Regions from separate parts of the Mus musculus genome. Here all the other regions are reported to be linked to region 1. The links are microRNA targets in miRTarBase. Many come from high-throughput screens and were not tested one by one. Region 1 holds a microRNA gene; each other region holds the end of a gene's coding sequence. Distances are from middle to middle.

What was found. The annotated mature microRNA mmu-miR-871-5p reads UAUUCAGAUUAGUGCCAGUCAUG and lies in region 1 at 2,265-2,287, shown strand. An mRNA with a match to its seed (bases 2 to 7 or 8) in the 3' UTR can be bound and repressed. Matches are read on the target gene's strand: a 7mer-m8 pairs with bases 2 to 8, a 7mer-A1 pairs with bases 2 to 7 and ends in A, and an 8mer does both.
Region 2: miRTarBase lists Sms as a target of mmu-miR-871-5p. Seed matches in the 3' UTR shown: 8mer at 2,772-2,779.
Region 3: miRTarBase lists Irx2 as a target of mmu-miR-871-5p. Seed matches in the 3' UTR shown: 8mer at 2,383-2,390.

Annotation. Positions count from the first base shown.
Region 1 is chrX:66,807,647-66,812,758 of GRCm38, reverse strand. Mir871 (microRNA 871) reads left to right here and starts at 2,255; the gene lies at 2,255-2,331.
Region 2 is chrX:157,441,643-157,446,754 of GRCm38, reverse strand. Sms (spermine synthase) reads left to right here. Exons shown (of 11, transcript NM_009214.4): 11 at 579-2,904. The coding sequence ends at 618. Among named protein-coding and RNA genes, the nearest start is that of Gm24281, 14 kb to the right of the region's middle.
Region 3 is chr13:72,631,739-72,636,850 of GRCm38, forward strand. Irx2 (Iroquois homeobox 2) reads left to right here. Exons shown (of 5, transcript NM_010574.4): 3 at 1-232; 4 at 848-923; 5 at 1,526-2,458. The coding sequence ends at 900. Among named protein-coding and RNA genes, the nearest start is that of Irx2, 5.5 kb to the left of the region's middle.

The DNA of each region.
Region 1 (5,112 bases):
AGGCCCTGTGGCTGTTATTGTTTCTGTTGAAAAGGCAGGTATAATATTGATAAATTATTCTTCAGATTATACCTGGCCTTTTTGTGGTTGCAGTTTTTTCTTTATTTTGTACATTTAGTGTATTATCTGTTCTAACCTATTTTGTGGGATGAACCAGAATTCAGGAGCAGTTTTGGCAAGTGGAGTTGGGGAAATCAACTCTAGAGATCATCACTGAGTACAGATCTAATGTATTGTGCATTTGCAAGTGTTTTTATACAGCTTTTGGACCAATGGGGTATTGATACAAGCTCTGGAGTAGCCAACTATCCCACTGTTGGGAGGTGCCAGGCTATTAGCATATGAAGGGACCTCCATAAAAAATGGAAAGTAGCTATGGCCCTGTTCGGCCCATTGTGAGGTTTCCCTACTTTCAGTATCCAAATAAACAAAATCAGAATTAAAAAGGGAGACATTAACAAATAAAATTGAATAAATTCAAAGAATCATTAGCTCTTACTTTAAAAGCCTGTTCTACATAAATTTGGAAAATCTTTAACAGATTGTAAGACATTTTAGAAAGATACCTATTTCCAAAGTTCAATCAAGATCAAGTAAACTATTGAAACATCCCTATAACACTTAAGGAAAGGGAAACAGTTATCAAAAGAAAAAAGCCCAGGTGGTTTTAGTGCAGAATTCTACCAGGCTTTTAAAGAAAGAGCTAATGCCAGTACTGCTCAGACTATTGCACAAAATAGAAGCAGAAGGAATACTGCTAACTAAGAAAAAGAATTTCAGGCCGATTTATCTTGTCATATTAATGCAAATATATTCAATAAAATACTAAAAAAAATGCACCAGAGAACTAGGATAGGGCAGGTTCCTAAGAGTCAGTGGGGGTGATCTTAGCTGTGACTCACAGCATTGGGAATATGGAACCTGAAGATGGAACCTGAAGAGGCCATCTGCTGTAGCCAGGCAGGGACACCAATCTACACACAAAACTTTCATTTCAAATGTTATCCTGTCTGCAAGAAATGCAGGGACAGGGATGGAGCAGAGCCTAAGGAAATGGCCAACCAATAACTGGCCAACTAGAGACCTATCCCATGGTTAAGTACCAATCCCTGACACTCTTCATGATACTCTGTTATCTTGCAGACAGAAGTCTAGCATGGCTGTCTTCTGAGAGGCTCTACCCAGCAGTTGACTCAGACAGTCACAGCCAAACAGTAGATGGAACTTGTGGGCTCTTAATGGAAGAACAGAAGTAAAGATCTTGGGACCTGAAGGAGGATAGGAACTCCACAGGAAGACCAAGAGAATTCACTAACCTGGACCCTTGGGGCACTTAGAGACTGAGCTACCAACCAAGGAGCATACACAGGCTGAACCTAGGCCTCTCCGTACATATGAAGCAGATGGGCAGCTTGATCTTCATGTGGGTCCTAACAGCTGGAACTATTGCTAATGCTGTTGCCTGTCTACGAAATCCATTCCCCTAATCGGTTGCCTTCTGTCCTTCATCAAAGAGAGTGTGTCTAGCCTGGCAGAAACTTGGTATACTAGGGTGGGATTTTACCCAACCACCTACCCCCCCCCCCCGCCATCAGGGAAGAAAGGGAGGAAGGATTGGGGTGGCAGTGTTAGGAATGGAAAGTGAATAAATAAAAATAGACATTTGGGGTTTTTTTTTGTTTTTTGTTTGTTTGTTTTATTTTTTATTAGATATTTTCTTTATATACATTTCAAATGCTATCCCGAAAGTTCCCTATACCCTCCCTCCTCCCTGCTCCCCTACCCATCCACTCCTGGTTCTTGGCCCTGGCATTCCCCTGTATTGGGGCATATAAAGTACTACAATGAGATAATACTGTCCTAAAATAATGTGCTATATTAAATCAATAGAAAAAGGAAAAAATAGGCAGACAGAGAGATAAAATATACTTATGATGGCTTTTCTGCTCACAGGAAATATCACAAATCACCTCATTTACTTATTTGGACTATTGAGTATTATATTTAAAGTTTTTTTCAGAGGAAGTAATTTGGTTAAAAGTTCTGATAATTTGTTAAAGACATTCTAATACAATTAGTGGAAAACTAAAAAAGGCTTATTTTCATGACTCAACTCTTGACAGGAAGATAGGATCCATGAGAATCTTTTTTTCTGAAAATTCCAGGTGAAACTGGGTTTGTTGTCTGTGGCTCATAAATAGCTCTAGTAAGATTAAGGCTGGGGCATTGACAAATCTATGTTGTGTGAGTTGTGTGCAGTGCTCTATTCAGATTAGTGCCAGTCATGTGAAATACATATGACTGGCACCATTCTGGATAATGTAATGCTCACTATATTCTTCAAGTGATTTGACCCTGGATGTTCATGGTAGTATATACTTCGAAGAATGTTACATGCCTTCCATAATTTCAGCTTGTCATTTGATTCCTGTAGCATCTATAATTATAGAAAATATTTTCTTTTCTAGAAATCACAACTCAGGAGCACTTACAGTTCATAGAAGATAAAATTGGAGGATACTAAGTACCTTTATACTACAGGTAAAAACATGAAATGAATACAATTTTATATACTTAATTTTGACAATTAGACAAACAAACAAGAGTCCAGAGCATCCAGAGAGAAAAATATAATGTAAAGGAATATATATTTGTTTCCTTGAATGAAGTGTGGTGGTGGAGGTGTGTGATTCTTCTCTAAACACAGTAAGTATGAGGAAGTCTAATTTTTATCACAGCAGATCAGTCATGATTGTGATACATGTTTTGGTCCATTAGAAAATATGTTGATACAAGTTTTTCTTGTTCACTACCTGCCTATTAGGAATTTTCAGAGTGAATTTGGTACATCAATGAATAATTTTTAATGTTATTACCAGTAAGTTAGATTAAAAAATTAAAAAGAGTAGATTCGAAAATGAGGAAGTATAATTAAAATGGTAATAAAGAAAACCGCACATCTTCATTCCAAGTTGACACAGTCATTCACATAGAATGGAACTTAAGGGATCCGTTAAATAGAAGTCAATGGTGAGAGAGAATATCTTGTTATCTCTGAAATTATGAATAAGTCATAAGTTGGTATAGGTTTATGTTTTTTTAGTGCTGTGATGAAAGATGAACAGAAAGGTAGAAATTCCTGGTGTACCAGATCCACATTGTCTTTTGTGTATTTCTTTTCCCACAGTGGGGCTATTCAAATGAACTGCAAGTATACAGTAGCTCTCTGGGTAGAGGAAGGCTTATCTTTACCTCTTTTTAATGGCTTTTGGATGATAATGTAGGTGTAGATGAAATCACCCATGTTGTGTCTTCCTGGATATTTATAATTAGCTTTAGACCCTGTAGATCATTTGCTTATTTTCAAAATGTTTTAATTATCCATTCTTAGCCTCATAATAGTAATTCATAGGCTATATAAAATGAGTTAGTCAGGCCCGACTAAATTATTCATCCTCAGTATATTTTCAATTATATGCCTATAATAATGTTTGTACATTTTCAAGCAAAATGATAAAGAATATTAAAATAGTTTGTATATAAAGAAGAAATAGCAAATAAAAGTTCATATCTTTTTACTGTCATTCATCTAAGGAAATGGCAATTGATATAATCTAATATAATTTAAAGATAAGGTAACTAATAAGTGGGCAATTCTCCTGATGCTTTCAATAGATTACAAGAAGAATCCAATGTGCATTATTACTGGGTGTCATGGAGAAGTCTAGGAAATGACCTACTCATTAAATATGCCCTGGACAGTCGCAAATTGGTGCTGGTAGGATTAAATGAATGTAGCCAGGTACTCTCTGGGTAGAGTCAAGCTTGTATGATTCTCATAAGATCAGGGTTCTGGAAGGGATAGTGTAAGTGGTCTTGAAGCATTTTCCTTAACCTTAGGTTTTCTGATGATACTTGCAAAACCCAGACTTTTTAAATAGGATTTATTTCCTCATGAGCCTTTACAGATCGACATAAAGGAGATTATATTTTTCCTTGTAGTGAAAACAATATCAGGTAAATGTGTTGTAATTAAAAGATATATAGTAACAGATGCAAGGTGAAAGTCTTTATGACTATTGATGCCCAGAATATGTGAAATAAGTGTTACAATGCTTATATGTCATGCTATACTGACTAGATTAAGGCTGAAGAATATGATGGAGTCAGTGCAAATAACACAATGCCATGTGCACTGTCCTCCTCAGAAAAGTACCAAGCAGTTTTTTTTTTTGTGTGTTTTGTTTTGTTTTGTTTTGTTTTTGCCATCCATGTTTTCATGGTGGATAGTTACTTGCTCATACAATAGGGCATAGTATAGTTGATTCTGTATTTCCATGAGTTCATTGTTTGTTGTCATTCATCTTTACCTCAACCATTGTCAAGAAATTCAGGGTGGAATTTTCCTTTAACAGTAGTTACTAAAGGTTAGTAAAAAAGAAAGAACATTAAAATTCAAACAAGTACAAAAATGAAAGTAATAACAAATAGGTTATTTTCAACGTTAGCTATTCTTAGAAAATAAAGACACAGAGGATCTACTGTAAGACAAATTAAGCCCCATATATCTCTAGGATACAGTAATAAATTATGCCAGTGTGTGGGTATCGTGTTTGTTTGGTAACCTGATGGAAATTGAAGTGAATGATGAAAACTTTATTTGTATGGAATTCATATTAAAGTCTTTTCATGTGCAGTGCATTATCTAGACTGGGATTACTCACATGAAATTTCATGGCACCACACTGGGTGGAGGAAAGTTCACAGTATTTCTCTCAAGTGCCTATAAATAATCACCCAGATTTAGGTGAAATAATGTCTTTTTATTTTTCCCCTCCTGCCCCACCCTCCAACTGTTCCACATCCCACACCTCCCTTGCCTTTCTCTAAGAGGATGTCCCCAACCAGTCACCTCACCAGACCTCCCTTCTCCCTGGTGCCCCAAGTCTCTCTATGGTTAGGTGCATCTTTTCTGAGTCCAGACCTGGCAGTCCTCAGCTGTACATGTGTTAGGGGCCTCATATCAGCTGGTGTATTGGCCTGGTTGGTGGCTCAGCGTCTGAGAGATCCCAGGGTTCCAGGTTAGTTGAGACTGCTGGTCTTCCAATAGGG
Region 2 (5,112 bases), 91 Mb from region 1:
TGGTTAGAGACAAGAACTGCCTAGGTCTTTGGCCCAAAGGGGGCTATTCTGCTGGCTGGGCAGCCATGTCCTTTAATGACTTGTGGAGATCACCGCTGCTCCCATGTCTCTTAGTGTTCTCTTTTGTGCTTAGAGGTTTGAGAAATAGGCAGGGCTGGCTTGGGAGAAAGCTTCTGAGTCTTTCCCCCTCGTTTCTGTTCTCCCTTTACCATGCCTACTCCACCCCCTTTGCCCATTTCCTTTCCTCCTATCCCATCTTATCCTTTTCCTATCTTCCTTCATACTGACTCTTCAAACCTTTGGAAAACCTTCAGAGCAGAAGGTGTTACCTGAGAGAGAGAACTGAGTGCAGTCCTTTAGTCTTTGTTCACTCAATCCCCCTTTCAGATGTCCCACGCGGTATGTAGCACGGGTGTCCTATGCTACAGAGTGGTCTTGTTCAAAAACTTTTGTGCTGTCCCCACAGTGCTGTACCTAAACCCATAAATCAGAGTCCGCCTTCTAATTTGTAGGCTTATCTGGTAAGTGGTACCTGTCCTTCCTTATTGACCTGCCTTGTTCCTTGACTTCCCGTCCAGGTGGGTGTTTTACACTGTTTGGAAGAAAGCTAAGCCTTAAAGATGAGAATGACGTGTGCTGCGAGCCACCTTCCTGACCTCCATATGCCGTATATGCCATCAAATGTGTCAGGCAACTGCTCATGAATTCCTTCTAGTGGTTTTCACTTTTAATTATTATTTTTAATTTAAAAAAGCCAATGGGAAAAATGTATATTTTGATGAGTTAGGATGTTAATTTTAAAAAGTCAGCCGAAGGACAATTAGACAGCCCAGCAAAGACTGCAGAATGCACTGACCCCCTAGAATGTGATTTTAGTATTTTTTTTTCTCTGTGTGGGGTTTGGGTTTTCATTTTGGTTTCAGTAGACCTTTAATTTGGACATGTGGAGGAATGAACATCATTGTTTTGTTCTGGAGAGAAGTTCCTGATAGTGTTTCTCCCCTCTCACCCCCAAATTGACTTAGATATTAAAATTTGGTGCTTTTAAAGGTTTTAAAAGAGTGATTAGCAGTGCTTCAATTAAAATGACAAAGGAGACCTCTTACGGTGTTTGTCCCTTTATTTCAGCCTCTCTTCCTCTTTCTTACCTCTGATGGCCTAGGGCAAAGGTGTATTCTATCTAGACTGTTAACTGCACTCAGCATAATGTCAAGGCCTTGAGGAACGATCCACAACCTATTATATTTGCCGCCCCCCCATTATAAAGTTGTTCCAAGGATAGCAGAAGATTTTTGCCTGCCTGAAAAGGGTGAAAGTCAAAGATGATTTCTGTTACTGCTCTCCCTGATTAGAGATCCAAAGGCCTTTGAGAAGACTGTAGGATGTGCAAGTGCACACTAGAGTTCATGTAGTCCTGTGGCAAAATAACTTAACTCTTAAGAAAGTGCATGTGAATAGCAACTTGGCATTGTATTGTGGATAATTTGAATTGTCTATCCTATTGTTTGTGTAAAATATTTACACTGTATCAGTAGAATGGTATTTTTTTTTACAGCAAGTAAAACATTGAAAATTTACTAATGGAAATCAGGCTCAAGTTTCATTGTCCCTCCCAAGATAGGAAGGAACAAATAAGACAGGACAAGACAAATGATCTTTAAAAGTGAGCGCAAACCTATGCCATTTGTTTTAGATTGACATGGAAGAAGAAACAATAGAGAATAAAAGGAGTTGATAGTTATGTTCAAATTAGATGCATTTAACAATATTTTTGGTGCATGCATAGGGTAAAAACAGCCCAGTAGACACTTCTCCACCCAAATTCTTCCCCAGTGCTTTGAAAACTTTGTATATTGTGGAGAATTGAAAACAAATGTACTGCTACAGTTAGAATATTAGCTAAGGCCAATTGCCCCTTACCCACTGTACTGTTATTCTTACGATTACTTTTGAAACAGTGACTGTATGTATGTAGCCCAGTCTAACCTGGAGCTTATTATGTAGCCTAGGCTTTCCTGGAAGCTCACAAGAATTGAGCTTGTACCATCACACAGCTTAATTCTTGTTACCATTTAAGTAAAGAAAGCAAGTATATCAGCTGCTGGGGTAATATTAATGAGGGGACTGACCTGCGTGATCCGTGAAGAGTAACTTGAGGCCATAACCACAGATCCACTCATAATTCGGGTGACTCAGTTCCTGCTAAGCACCAGGTGGTAGAAATGAAGAGGATAAGGTTATGTGAGGCTAATTGGTTATGAGATGCATTTGGGATAAAATGAAGGAAGTGGTGTTGAGGAAAGGAGGAAGAAAGAGGTTTTTATCTTGAGTGATAAATGTGAACTCAGATGTGACTGATTTGCTGAAGGAGGGTCTCCGTTTTGAGCCCTTGTTATTTTGACACCGAAGCATGCAAACTGAACCAACACCCACCCTACCCTGTGCTCTACTCCGACCCACCTTCGCTTTGGCTGCCTCTTAAGGAATGCTAATGGATTTGTTGTTTTTCTTAATACTGTAGTGTTATGTAGTGTGAAAGATTCTTTTAACAGTGGAATATATTATGGTGTCCTGCTTTTTTTTTAATGAAAGACAAAACAAATATGGATAGAGTTTAAATTCTGTTCAACACAGCAGATACTAAGAATTGATTTATTAAGACATGAAATGCTGCTTTCTCTTGGAAATGTGATTGAATATTTATAAAAGAGCTCCACCTGGGCCGGGGAAGGCTGGGTTGGTGGTGGTTTTAGTGGGCTAGAACATTACTATCTGAATAAACAAATGTGCTGCTTCTTCCTGTAGACTTGGAATAGTCATGTCCTTGCTTTCCCTAACAATTGCTGACACAAGACTTTGTATTTCTGCCTGTCATCTGTCTCTCAATAAATGGATCAATTTCATCCCGTCTCCATTATGCCTGGGAAAGGGAAGGAAAATATGTGTTATGTTCTGGCTTGGCCTCTTTCTGAGCTGCTCACACTGGTGGTTCATCTGATAGTTCTGTTTTCTTTCTCCTTCCTTTTTTCTTTTTGGTTTGTTTTCAGACAGGGCTCTCTGTGTAGCCCCAGCTGTCCTGGAACTCTGTAAACCAGGCTGGCCTCGAACTCACAGGAATCCACCTGCCTCTGCCTCCTGAGTACTAGGATGACAGGCGTGTACCACCACCACCCTGGCAACAGCTCCCCTTTCAAAGCACTTTATTGCCACTGAGGGGTTCTCTCTGGTAAGACTTGCTCAGAAAAGACAACAGTACTTGTTTTCATTGTGGAACTAGCTACTTAACATTCCTCTGACAGCATATTTTTTTTGGGGGGGTGCATACTATTCTAGAGGCCAATTGGTCAGCAGTGTTATCTTGTTATTACACAGCAGCTGCTATGTGACCATAAAAGAAACACCTGACCTGATCACCTGGTTGCCTACTGTCTTTTCTTAAAGTCTTGCTTTTTAAAAGAAAATATGTATGTATGTCTGCATATATGTGTATATCACAGGTGCCAGAAGAGGATGGCAGATCCCCTGGGACTGGAGTTATATGCAGCCATGTGCTGCTTTGTGGGTGCTAGGAACCAAACCCATTCTCTTAGAGTTTTACTTCTGTGAAGAGACACCATGATCAAGGCAACTCTTATAAGGATGGTATTTAAATGGGGCTGGTTTACAGGTTCAGAGGCTCGGTCCATTATCATTGAGGAGGGAGCATGGCAGCATCCAGGCAGGCGTGGGGGATGGAGGAGCTGAGAGTTCTAGGTCTTATTCTGAAGGCAGCTAGGAGGAACATTTTCAAGCCCACACCCACAGTGGCACACCTATTTTTTTTTAATATTTTTTATTAGGTATTTTCCTCATTTACATTTCCACTGCTATCCCAAAAGTCCCCCATACCCTCCTCCCCACTCCCCTACCCACCCACTCCCCCTTTTTGGCCCTGGCGTTCCCCTGTACTGGGGCATATAAAGTTTGCAAGTCCAATGGGCCTCTCTTTGCAGTGATGGCCGGCTAGTCTATCTTCTGATACACATGCAGCTAGAGACACGAGCTCTGGGGTACTGGTTAGTTCATATTGTTGTTCCACCTATAGGGTTGCAGATCCCTTTAGCTCCTTGGATACTTTCTCTAGCTCCTCCATTGGGGGCCCTGTGTTCATCCAATAGCTGACTGGGCACACCTATTCTTAACAAGGCTGTACCTCCTAATAGTGCCTGCGCCAAGCACATACAGACTCACACCCAGAGTCTCTACAAGAGCAGCAAATGCCCTTAACTGATCAGCCATCATCACTTCAGCTCCCTGCCCAGTATCTTTCTACCAAATAATTACTAACATTTAATAATTTTAGCTAGTAAACCATATTCATTTCTGTTGTTTTGCTAAGTCTCAAAACTATGTTTTAAATGAGATGTTGATATCATTGAGTAGGTTAGCTAGCAAAGGGTAAATATGCCTGAGGGTTCCATAGCCAGATTCTTTTTTTTTTTTTTTTTTGATCTTATATATCCCAGAGCAGCCTTAAATTTACTATATAGCTGGAGGATGACCTCAAACTCGATTCTACATCGTGGGGGCTAGGATTATGGATATGTATCTCCGACTTGTTTTTAGGACTGCAATTTAAATTTAGGTTTCAGTAGGTAGAAGATTCCTCAGGGTGTCTGCCCTCCCTCCCCCCAAAACCCCGGGACTGGTACTGGTGATTGAACCTAGGTCCTCATGTATGATAGTACTCTTATCACTGAGCTATATCCTTAATTTTCTTTTTATTTTGATTCAGGGTGTCACTAAGTTTGTCCAGGCTAAACTTTAAATTCTGATAGCCCAAGGAGGCCCTGAACTTGTGATTCTTCAGCTCCAACTTCCTGAGTATTTATACCACTATTGGCTTTCTTGAGAGTTTTTTTTTTTAATGCTTACTGTTCTAATTTTTTAATGTGTATGGGTGTTTTCCATGCATATATGTTTAAACTTGTGCGGCTGATATCCTTGAAGGTTAGAAGGGGGTGTTGGGGTCTTTAAAACCGGAGGTACTAGATAGTTGTGAACTGGCATAGGTTCTAGGAATTGAACTCCAGTCCTGGAAGAGCAGCTAGTACTCTTAACCACCGAGCAATC
Region 3 (5,112 bases), not on the chromosome of region 1:
CTGGGCCGCCACCTCTATTACACGTCCCCTTTCTATGGCAACTACACAAACTACGGGAACTTAAACGCAGCGCTGCAAGGCCAGGGCCTTCTGCGGTACAATACCGCGGCCTCCTCACCAGGCGAGACACTGCACGCCATGCCCAAGGCGGCCAGCGACACGGGCAAGGCGGGCTCGCATTCACTGGAGTCCCACTACAGGCCTCCGGGCGGCGGCTACGAGCCCAAGAAAGGTAGGCTGCCTGAGGCCCGCGGGGAGGGATTCTGGTAGTCAGAACTAGCCAGAAACCTGGGAAAGGGCGCCGGGAATGTGAGACCTTTGGACCAACTTAGCCTCTTGTCAGACCCAGAATTTGGGAGGCCAGTGTGGGGAGACCCGTTGAAGAGTGAAGGCAAAAAGGGCTAGCCCTCCTTTTTCGGTCTATCCTGCTTTATTTACTCTTTATTTAATTTACTGTTAATATTATCAAGTAACTATTTTGTTTTGGCAAACTTACTGGCAGGAAGTGTGATCTGTGCTTGTCTCCCTGGTGGGTGTAGTCTTTCTTCTGTGGTGTTGGTTAAAAATGGAGCTTAGTGGGATTCTGTCTGCCTTTGGCTCAAGGAAAGCACAGGTTCCTGGGAACTCTCGGAGGCCTAATTTTCTTACACTACCTCCATTGTTTCTAACTCTGCATCCCCGAGACTGGGGCTCGAGGAGAGGAAGAAAGGAAGGAGAAGGAGGGAGCATAAATAACGTGGATCTTAGATGCCCCGGGAGTATGTGTCCCTTGCAGGGATAAGAGCTGGGAGGTGCTTAGCTGCCAGGGGCTGTAGCCTGTCCTCACTAACTGCCCCTCCCCTGACAGATACCAGTGAGGGCTGTGCAGTTGTTGGTGCAGGCGTCCAGACCTACCTATAGGAGGGCCAAGGTCAGCAGTGCAAGTAAGTGGGTTCCCTCTGCATCCTCTAGCCCCCAAGTCCTTGTCCTGTGCAGTGTGGTGTGGTTTTGCTGGAGAATAGAGTATTGGCTTTCTTCTAGCCTCTTTGCCTTCTGTGTTATAGTTTTTTTTTCTTTTCTGCTCAAGTCCTGCTTTGTAGAATCACTTCTCTAAACAGAACACACACACACACACACACAACCACTGTGTTGTTGGTTGATGATGGTGGTTTCAAAGATTTGGGCATCTCTGTGTGCTTCAAAACTCTTTTAGACACATAAAGGACACCTTGTCTGATGAGTGAGTTGTGCAGAAAAGTGGGTATTTTGCCTGAAATGGATATTGCTTTCAGAATAAGACTAAAAAGACACCAGCAGGCCTGGTCTTTCATGGGCCTGCTACTTGGTGTTCAGTATCCACATGGACACTGTGGACTCTAGTTCTAGCCCAGAGCTGTTACAAAAATTTAAAACTAGACAACATTACTAGTTCTAGCCACTAAAGATGGCAAAGAGGCAGAGCCAGTAGACACAAGCTTGAATGTTGTGATGTGTTGACATGGAACTGAAGAATTTGGGATAATTTGGTCTTTTCCTTGGTCCACAGGTAGGTGTCACAATTGCTTTGGAAAAAAAAGTCAGGAGGCTATTCTCCCTTCCCAAGTTCATAAATACACAGATACAAACCCCAGATGTGGAAACCCGGACCACATTTTGTGCCACTGTATAAGAGGATGCACACTGCACTGCCAACCCACAGACTCTAAGGACTGGACACACGTTGTTTGGGCATATGAGAACTTGTTGTCATAGTATAGCTTCCCTATGTTTGTGTGACTTTTGGAAACAATCTGTTTTTTCTCAGGATATCCTCATCACTTCATTGCCACGGTATATATTCTATAGGTGTGATAGGACTTGCTGTAAAATTTATTTGTAAAAAAAAATGTACACGGTAGAACTAACGTGATTGAAGAACTTGAGTCCTTCAGAAGTGGAAACAAATTTGATATTTATTTTTATAATGATATAAAGCTTCTAGTAATTTATGCAAGTTGTATTGCAATGAAATCTAAAACTTTTGTAAATAAATTCTGCCTGGTTTTTATTTGAACATTGCTGGTTATACAATCTCTGTTGGTTGTTTAACATCAGTTCTCCTATTAATTTATATCTAAAACTGTAAATAAAAACAGACGCGCCTACAAGAAAATGGTGTTTGGGGCTCATTTTTACTGGAGACCCATTTGGGTAGAAGCTCCAGCGGTAGCCCTGGTTCCTGCCCCAAAGGTGGTCCTACCTCACCTTTTAAGTGAAGAGCCAGTGAAATAAACGTCCTTCTTGAGCTTATTTGAAAAACTGCAGACCTGAGAGAAATTAATGTACAACAGGGAGATACCTACGGTTCCAGTTTATTCACATAGAAATGTGTTTCCAGAAAGTAATTCAGGTTTTTTTTTGTTCTCTGAATATGCAAATCCCTACTTAGTGTAAATTTCTAAAACATGGAAGAAAACAAAATAAAAGGATATGCCACCTCTCTGCTTTTCATCTTCTTTTGTGGTGCTGGATCGGGTCCTCCCACTGATACTGGAGAGTCCTCCCCCAGGGAATGACTGATGGGGACACTTGTTTTCCTCAGCCTGCAGTATCTCAGTTGACATAGATCAAGCACATTTACTGAAGAACCCTTTACTTTTTCTTTCTGTTCAGCTCCCACTAACAGGAGGGGGCGGGAAGTTAGATTCTTTACTGTGGCACTCTGCTTACCCTTACCCTCAGGGAAAAGAAAAGTTTAAACATCCTCAGACATTGTCTCTTTATTGTCTACTCACCTCCTAATTACAGGACCAGCCTGGAATTTGCAGCCAAATAGCCCAGCCCCTTTGATTAGTATCATAAAAGCAACCACTCTGTCACTTCAGCTTTTCTCAAATTATGTAGATACCCATATAATAAAATTTCGGTGAAGAAACGAACAATCATTTATTTCCTCTGCAAAGATAAATTGAGTGAATATAACTTACGTTTATAAAGCAAGAATAATGGCTCCTTAGATTGCCCTTTAATCAATCATACACTTATTTTTCAAGAGGCTCACCTATTTCATCCCATGATTAATAACAGTGCGGCAGGGGAGCGTTATTGGAGCCCAGCGGGGGAGGTCTCTGGTGCTTTGGGCTGCTCTGGAATGGTCAGTTGGGGTTCATTATGGGCTGAGATTGAACGATTTATAAAATCTTGTCTAAACATCTGCCAGCTCCGATAGGCTGATGTGGCTGAGGATGGGAAATTGTAGGCCAGTTGCTATTGACAAAAGGATCTCTCTCCAGTGGCTTTTTGTGCCATAGAAATTAGTGGCCTCTTGCTGGGGTCTTGTTAGAAAGGGTATTGGAAAGTCATCTGAGGTACTTGAAGCAAAGCCCCAGCAGGCTGGCCTGGGGAGGCACTAAGTCGGGTGCCTATGGAGGGGGAAATGAAGGCCGCTTGGGCTTTAGGGATGGGTTTGAAATGCATGGGCACTCAGGGTTCAGACCTAAAGTCAGTTTCTGGTATCTGGTATGAGATACTTTTCTCTCCTCCCCTCCCTGCCTCCCTGGGTTGGGAATGGAGATGTTTTGAGCTGAGCTCTTGAGGTAAAAAGAGAAGATTATATATATATATGCAAATTAATTAATTCAACAGAGACCCTTGCTAGTCTGGGAGATTCCTGGGTTGGGGAGTCAGAGGGTAGTCTCGTTGTCTTTTTGTTGTTTGTTTCAGTTTCTTAGGATTTGCAGAGATAACCATCTCTCCTTCCAGATCCACTTTATGCTGCAGTACAGCAGTAACAAATGGCCTGGCCCTCCTGGCCCTTCTCTATTGGTGTAGGCCATGTTCACAAATCAGCAGAGAACTAAAAGGGCAGAGTGGCAGTATCTCTGTCACATGTAACGTTGTGACTTGAGTCTTTTGAAAATTTTAGGAGGGAGGTAGGAAAATTAACAAGATCTAACAAACAAAATGCCCAAGATAACTCTAATGAACAGGCATCATTTTAGGCAGAAGTTTGGCTATAGTGTGACTGCCAAGCCCAAATGTCCTTCTTGCATGTGCCCAGAATTAGAAAGCTGGCAGTGTGACCAAAGTGGATCTCAGGAAATTTTTCTTACCTGGACTTACTGGGTCCCTTTTGCAGCAAAAGGGCTCCAGACCTTCACCCGGTTCCAGAAGGCTGGCGTGTTTTGTTTCTCTCTGTGACATCCCAGAGGCCTCAGGAGATTAGCCAAAGCTAATGAAGCTGCTTTGATGTTTATATGCCCAACAAATTATCAGAGATTTCCATAGCTTACCCACCTCCCTCCCGACCTGAATATCTTACTGGAGAACTTGATTTTTAAATAAGCTCGAGGAACATAAAATTGCAGGTGTGTTTAGGGGGACTAAAGAGAGGGAGAGAGGGAGGGAGGAAGGGAGGGAGGGAGGGAGGGAGGGAGGGAGAGAGAAGAGAAGAGAAGAGAAGAGAAGAGAAGAGAAGAGAAGAGAAGAGAAGAGAAGAGAAGAGAAGAGAAGAGAAGAGAAGAGAAGAGAAGAGAAGAGAAGAGAAGAGAAGGAGAATCCCCATGTAGGGAAGTGACTTCCGTGGAGAAATGGGCCCCACAGAGCTCTGGCAGGGCAGCCACACTGAATTACAGACTGCCTGCATGCCCGGGCGCGCTGCTGACTATTGGGCCCCGCATTCGCGTAGTCTGGCCGCTGCAGCCAGAAGGGCAGAAGGCCCTCCACAGACCGGATTTCATTAGAGCCGATTTATCAGAATTCGCGCTTTAATCTCAGGTGGGCCCGAGGGCCGGGGCATTGACGAGAGCACGGTTGGGGGGGGGGGTGCACCAAGCTGCTGGCTTGGGTGCTGCCTCCTGCGCCCGTCAAATGTCAACATTTGTTCCCAATAAAAGAGTTATTGTCTCAGCAGAGCTGCCTAGCAACTGCCTTTGAAACTTGAAAAGAACTTCACCCACCTTTGTCTGAAAGTCAGGAGGGGCGGGCAACAGAGAATAAGGGGCAGGAACAATCAGCTGTCTAGCAGGGGTTGGGGTGAGTCTCCCAAGCACCCTCTTTTGGGCCTCGGTCTGCGCTCCTTCTGGATGTGGGAGAAAGGCTAGAACTGCATAGGGAGAGAGGTCTGCAGAGGTGTGTGGACCTGAATGCTGCAGA